Linked DNA regions of Mytilus edulis. The protein of the gene in region 1 purifies or fractionates together with the protein of each later gene. This does not show direct contact. Links are inferred from orthologs where the notes say so. Each region holds a gene or a part of one and is shown in the gene's direction. Other genes may lie near its edges.

The links. Proteins that work in one complex are often made in the same cells at the same time.
Region 2: the proteins of actin-related protein 2/3 complex subunit 1A-B-like (region 1) and actin-related protein 2 purify together in Homo sapiens (affinity purification with mass spectrometry; 9 studies listed by BioGRID and IntAct, counting the BioPlex papers as one, with this or other methods). This does not show direct contact. The link is inferred for Mytilus edulis from reciprocal best matches to the Homo sapiens genes ARPC1A and ACTR2.

What each region holds. Positions count from the first base shown.
Region 1 is NC_092352.1:40,470,480-40,474,241, reverse strand, and holds the start of actin-related protein 2/3 complex subunit 1A-B-like, read left to right. Parts: upstream 1-1,544; 5' UTR 1,545-1,659; intron 1,660-2,433; 5' UTR 2,434-2,454; coding exon 2,455-2,521; intron 2,522-3,380; coding exon 3,381-3,532; intron 3,533-3,762. Other genes in the region: protein canopy 4-like, read right to left, coding at 1,194-1,329. UniProt on the Homo sapiens protein: Probably functions as a component of the Arp2/3 complex which is involved in regulation of actin polymerization and together with an activating nucleation-promoting factor (NPF) mediates the formation of branched actin networks.
Region 2 is NC_092346.1:18,321,973-18,325,734, forward strand, and holds the start of actin-related protein 2, read left to right. Parts: upstream 1-1,241; 5' UTR 1,242-1,352; coding exon 1,353-1,400; intron 1,401-3,762. Other genes in the region: uncharacterized protein, read right to left, coding at 1,001-1,165. UniProt on the Homo sapiens protein: ATP-binding component of the Arp2/3 complex, a multiprotein complex that mediates actin polymerization upon stimulation by nucleation-promoting factor (NPF).

The sequences.
Region 1 (3,762 bases):
GGTGGGGTTATCCATATTTTGTGAGATCTAAACCCTCCCTTACACCTTATTTGTAGTACTTTTTTCTAATCTTTTGTGATTCAAAAGATTATCTTATCACCCTCAACCAAATCTATATTTATTAGCAACATATGATGTAGATGCCAGAAAAAAATCTATTTTACTTTTACTATGACTAAAAGTTTAACAGAAAAATACTAGATTCATCCTCAACTCATTCATTTCCTCTGACCTATTCATCCTTCCAATTTCCCCTGACAAATGTGTGTATAAAAACACCATTCAAATAGGAACATAATCTACTCAAATTTATCAATTTTAGGATTTCGCATTGATCACCTGCAGTGATCCTTTTTATAAAATTCTTTGATTAATTTTATGAAAGACAATGACATATAAAATGTATAACTAAACATATAGTTATTGAGTTTTATCTTTCACAACAGCTGTATAAATTTATGACAGCAACTACATATTTTTTTTTTTGACTCTTCACTTGATGACTTTTATCTTTTACATCATCCTAAATTACAGCTGTTGTAATTTTCCATATTTATTATGGGAAATTATGTTATCAATTTTTTTCTGTCTCTGAACATTCTGAAGGGATGGTCCTCAGACCTGTCTATACTATTTATAAATGAAACTGAAGAAATTAAAAAAAAAACATATATATCTTTAAATTTTGAAAGAAAAGAAGAAATAAACATGATAAATGTAAAGACTGCCAGATAAATATAAAGCAATACATTTAAGGTATATATATGTATACCTTTTGCAATTTAATGTTAATGATGAGACAAATGTAATATTCAAAAGTCTTTAAAAAGGAAACAAAGACAAGCACAGATTTGATCTCGACTAATGCAAATAATTGAAAGCTTTCTTAAGACATAATACACATTTTGTACAGCATAAAATATTCATACAGGGATTTAAATTCTATAAGGAAGATAATTCCTTTTAACAGCCAATCAATGAATGCCATCTGGATTTATAGTGGATAATGCACTTTCTAGTAAAAAATTAAATAAAATTATTTTACTTTAAATTTCTTTTAATATTTAATGAGATTCATTACAAAAAAAATCTGAGAATACTTCTTTTTTTCACAATATCAATTTCTTTTTCAGCCTTTATATATTTTTTAGTTATTTTAAATATAAAATTACTTTTTAGTGATAAAAAATTACCTTCACATTTGCTTGGCATGATAACCCCATCACTGCTGACATCAGCAAATGACTTTTGAAGAATGGCAATGCCTAAAAACAGAAGAAAACTGGCCATTTTCAGTGGACACATCCTGCACATGTAGTTTGTATACATTCACAACAAGGAAGTATTTCCTTTGCACTTTGACCCATGAAGGAAGTATTTATTAAGATATACAACATACAGAAAATAAAATATTATATTATTTCATCTAAAAAATAGTAAACAGTTATCAAAAAATATATAATAAATGAATTAGATGAACAATGGCTTAAATTTATATTTACTTATTCAGACATAGATTTAATTCAAGATAAATATTTTATGTTGAACATCAAACAAGTACCGGTTAGTCAGAGAGGAAACAAGTGTGAAGAAGAACTTTTATCTCTAACTTTTCGTGTTGACTGATCAGAGTCCACGGAATTTCTCAATTTTTTTCAGGTAAAAAGGGGTGAATATATATTGGTTACGTATGCATATTTATATTTGAGTTGCAAAAGTATCTCCATTGGTGTTTGTAAACATTGCACTTGCAGATCCTCCCACCCGGAAGCATCTTCATCAGGTTGGGGAAAGAAATCCGAATGAGGAATAGTTCCTCAAATGAGAAGTTGGAAGATCGAGCTATATTTATAAGGGGGTAACCAACCCGGGGTAAAAGCAGAGAAGTCCAACCATATGTCCCCTTTCAAATGCATAATGATCGTTAAAAAATAAAAGGGGTGAAAAAGGCAGTGTCTGCACGTACCCGAATATGTGTATGCTTAGCCAAATTGCCCTTTGTAGGCTATGCCTACCGCAACCGACTTTATAATAAACTGTCATAGGATCAGGAATGAAATGTGAAAGATACATGAAAATTATAAAAGAACGTTAAAAGAATAAAAATATACTTAATGTGAATAAATGTGCAGGTACGTGCAGACACTGCCTTGAAAAATGTGAATTAAAAAAAATATTTAATTTAAACGAAAGCTGTGTCAGATCCAATAGAGATCAATTCACAATTGATGCTATGAAAATATTCAATCCAACAGGATGTATTAAGCAGAGTTCGGGAAAGTACATGTATTAATTTAAAGCAGGGGTTCAAACTTTCTTAATTAGAAACGGTGATAGTTACATTGTAATCATCAAACCGATTATAAGCGTATATGTTAAGTATTAAAAGAAGTTCACCATTAATATGATAAAAACTGTTCATGTATATTTCAGTTTGTCTGGTAAAACAAAAAGATGACAGAAAAGCATAGTTTTGGTGTAACAGCAGTTTCATGTCATGCATGGAATAGTAATAGATCAGGTGTGTATAATAAAAAAAGGTGCTTTACCTAAAAAAAAAACCAACCTTGTGTGTTGATTGGATTCTGAGTGTTTTTCAGACATATATATCATATATGCAATATCTCCTTTCATTCATTTTTAGAACAGACAAATAAATGAAAAATGCTAATATTTTTGAACATACTCATATGCCATTATGGAAAATGCTTGATTTGCAACTTACATTTAATGTTTGAAAAAAGTACTTTAAAATACCCTACTTACATGTTTCTTAATTGGTATCAAATCTAGATTAAACAAGAAATACTAGAAAATGTATTAAAATAAAGTGAAATATTGAAACCGCTGTTATCAAGTCTCTCGTCTCATGACATGTATATATGTCATGGTTTATGTTTGTCACAAAAATGGGGATCAGATTCATCAAGAAACTTACACACTTCTGAAATCAATTTGCTGACTAAGTAAGCTGCAAGTAAAGTCAAAAATACAAATGCACATATAAACCAGGTATTAAATGGGGAAAAAAATTGTTTACATTGTAGATAGATATAGAAAGATGTGGTGTGAGTGCCAATGAGAAAACTCTCCAGCCAAATAACAATTTATACAAGTAAACCATTATAGGTCATTTTACGACCTTCGACATATAGCTTTGGCTCTTACCGAAAAAACAAGCTATAAAGGGTCCCAAAATTACTAGTGTAAAACCATTTAAACAGGAAAACCAACGGTCTAATCTATATAAAACAAGAGAAACAAGAAACACGTATAAATTACATAAACAAAGAACAGCTACTGTACTTCAGATTCCTGACTTAGGACGGGTTTATGCAATGACAGATGTTGAAAATTTTTATAAAATTTTCTTTTTTCAGAAATTGCTCTATCTCAGAATGATTCAATAGTGAGAATCTACAAGAAAAGTGGAAACAAATTTGATGAAACCGCCAGTCTCACAGAGCATGGTCAACAAGTAACGGGAATTGAATGGGCATCTAAAAGTAACAGGATTGTAACTTGTGGAGCTGTAAGTTAAATGTACAAGGATATATTTGATATATGAGTTTTAATGTGAACTTACAAATTAGAAACTACAAAAAACAACTTCTTGATATTTTGTATATTTAAAGCTTGGTATATTGGCTATGATGTGTAGTAAAGTTGTAAAATATTCTAGCCACTAGATAAAATGGAAATATCTTACGACTGTTGTTGTTTAAGCTCTAATATGAAAATACATTAGCAAAATACATAAGC
Region 2 (3,762 bases), on another chromosome or scaffold:
AAATAATGTGTGATCCCTCACTCAGGAGGATAACCACGGATAAGGATTAGCAATAATCCGATGGATTCGTTATACACGAATCACGTCATTAGATAAATTACGTCATTAACATGTAGTGCACTTTTTGCGTACTTTTTCATCTTTTTATGTTTTTGATTTTTTTTTGCGCTTTTTCTAATCCGTTCTTTGTAAAGGTATTTGAATAACTTCTATCTTCTTTATTTTATGTATGTAAAATTTTATTTTTATTATATTCTTACAATTTTGGAAAGTAAATGCTTAAAAACTTTAGGCAGTTTAGGAAAGTAAGCCTAGAATATATAAATATACTAAATGGCCTACTGCAATAGCGTCGGGAAAAAAGAGTGGATTTGAAACTCTATAGTTCTAAATATTATATAATTTTATATATATTTATAAACGCATCCTTACATAATTTTATTTTCATAAATTTCATAAAAAAGCTCCCCTTTCATATCTTTTAATATTGGTAAAAAAACGCGCGAATGTTTCAAGACGGAGGAATTAGATTTATCACAAAAACGGCGACGTCATAGTACATTACGTAGTTCATAACATCATTTCAATCGGCCGATGAATCGGCCCTTTGGCACTGAAAGGAGTATGACTTTGGGCCGATCATCGGCCCTATGGCACAGAACTCGTTAATTATTTAATATTTTGAATTGTTTGTAGATTTGTTTTCATTAAAGAGGGGCGAGTTGGCCACGTACATTTACGTAAATGTACATTGATAGTGGGTCTTCCAATGGATAGAAACAAGTGCCTGTGGGCACTTTGGTGAAAAAGTGGGGCGGTTTGTCAGTAGAGCAATTTATCCTGCTTCCCCACACTGAATTTTTACAAAGAGATTGTAAATATAAATTTTGATGGAAGGAATATAATTTTTTGAAGCAAATGTATGTCCTGTTCACGGCAAACTTAACCAAATTATCCGCTCCCCCTTTTTCAGAAAAAAAAACATATTTGTTAGTCGTACATCAGATCCATCGAATTGTCTGAGTTCAGATTCTGAGAAAATCTTTGCAGGTTCATTTTCGTTCTTTCCTGCTATTTCAATTTCAATCTGTTTGTATTTTCCTTTTATATTTGTGAAAATAAGAAAAAGTAAAACAGCTGTCAAAACTTGGCTGGTGGCTGCCATTGTTGTTGTTGAAATGATTTGATAAAACAGAACATTTGATTGGCTATAGATTTTACAATAACTAATCACGGACCTTGTAACGTATTTCCCGTTGTGAGTCAAATGCCGGGGTGTTAACTTCCGGTTTGTCTGCTAGAAGGAAAAGACCAAAGTTTGCATATTACTGCTGAATCCATCACCATCTGCCATGGATAAAGATGGAAGGAAAGTTGTTGTCTGTGATAATGGCACAGGAGTAAGCACTTTGAAAAAAATATTTCATACTTTACCGTTCTAATGATTTTAAATTTGTAAACAAACCCGGAAGTGTCAATATAGAGTTCCTTACTATTTATCTTTATATTTTTAATGCATAAAACTATACGAATAAAAATGCACAAACTACACTAAATGAACACAAACATATGTAATTCATTTTCACTTTGCACATATTACTTTATGAATCTGCATTCTATCAACATGATCCACAAATGTCTATTACCCAATACTTTTATTTGCCAACTACCCCTGTTGTAGTGTTGACAATTTTGAAGTTTTAATGCAATGAACTTTTCTAATCTTGGAAAGGCATTGAAAACTTTACTTGCATCTTGAGTACCAGTAAATTTGCTTGCGGTATTGTTTTCTAAAAAAACAGGTTCCAAACAGTCTGCGCAAATGGCGGATCTAGGTGGAGGGGGGTGGTTGGACCCTATATGTACCTTTTTTTTGGAAGATCAATGCATTTGAATGGGGACATATGGTTGGACCTCCTTCCCCTCCCCTGTCTATCCTGGGTTCGGAACACACCCCCCATTTTTTTTTAAATGGCTGTATCCGCCCCTGTTGCCAGGGATTGAAGTTAAGATTTTGGCACGGTTGCCCACAGCTTAAATTTGTAGACAATATATATAGTTTTAAATTAGGGAAGAAGAAATTTCAGTAGCCCACACCAAATTTTAGGGGCCATTGGTGAGTGTGCCTCTGCTAATTTCATACTGTGTCACTCTGTGTGCACCGTTACTAATCCGCCTCTCTGCGCTGTTACAAATGTACTAACAGTGCTACTGGCTTTAGCCACTAGTCTGGTGCCCAAGACTAATTAAACTTTATTCGAATTAGTTAGTTTATTAAAAACTTTGTTTAGACACATAAAAAAAAACCTCTTAATATTGGGTCTTTAGACTAGTAGTCAAAAAGTATTTAGTGCAGACTGTCGAAACATGATTACAGGAGTCCAAAACTAGCAAAGCCTGAAATAAAAATTTGACAATGGATTGGTCTTCTTTGAATTCAGTTTCATTTATATGTGGTAGAAAAGATTGCATGTATTTTCTAGGTTATGAAATGTAAATAAGATTCTAGACGTTATTTTGAAAATTGTTTTCTCTCATTGTCATGATTGTCAGTTATCAGGAAGATTTGATTTCATATCCTGCTTGTTATTATTCCCAATCTTAATACCAATTTTAAGTCTTGGTTTGTTCATTTGAACTTATTCTGACTCTAATTCAAATTATCAAAAGTTACAAAGCAGCTAATGATAATTCTCTTTTATTTACTTTTAGCAGGTTACATGTACAATGATGTATGTTGTTAGTGTTTCCTGCAGCTTTTAAAAAGGGCAGGGTAATTGTTAGCTCAGAGGGCACATTAAGCACGATGGACAACAATTTTAGGGCACTTACTTAATATAAACAGGCAATTTCTATAAAATGGATTCATTTAAAACATACTAGTTTAATGCTATAAAAAGGACATATACATCTGTAATCAATCATTAAAACAAATTGTTAAACAAGAAAAAGTGTTTAAAACATATATATGAAATATTTAAAACAATAAACACAATTAAAAACAAAATCAGTTCTTTAAAAATGTTTAAAAACAAGAAAGAACTATGTCATATATATATATAAAAATATTGCTTTTGTCATATTAATTGTCATTGACAAATCCTCCTTTTTTCCCCTAAAAACAGGTTGACACATTCCCTGATATCCAAATCATCTATTTGCTGACACTAGAACAAGATTGTTTACAGTTGACACATTCAGTCTATTTCTGCCTCTTTGGTGCTGAAAATAAATAAATTACACATAAAACAAGAATATCTTAAATAATCTGGAAGTTTTTTCATAAATTGTTCCTTTCTTAAATTAATTCAAATTAAAAACTGAAGAAGTAAATTTAAAAAAAATAATTTGATGAAAAAATGAATTAATTGAAAGTAATTAATATGCAAGTGATTTCATGAGATCATTGGCCTAACTCAACTTTAACCTTAAATTATCCCTTTGACAAAAGTTTATTTTTACCCCCGAAATAACAGTAACACCATTGCAAGTGCGTAACCATTTTGTAATAAAAATCTACAAACCTTTAAAAAAATGATAAAAGCTTTCTGCATTTTGCGGCCTGTTTCTCATTTTCTTCCTCACGTTTTCACTTCCGATTTGTTGATGGCATGATAAGTATCTGTATTCACTATTCAATCTTTTGCAGTTTGCTAATCAGCTGATTACGAAATCGATTACAAAATGGCGTCCTAGTGAACTTTTGTTTACGTTTGAAGGGAAATAACTCTAGCGGTATTCATAAAATATGTCATGTCTAAG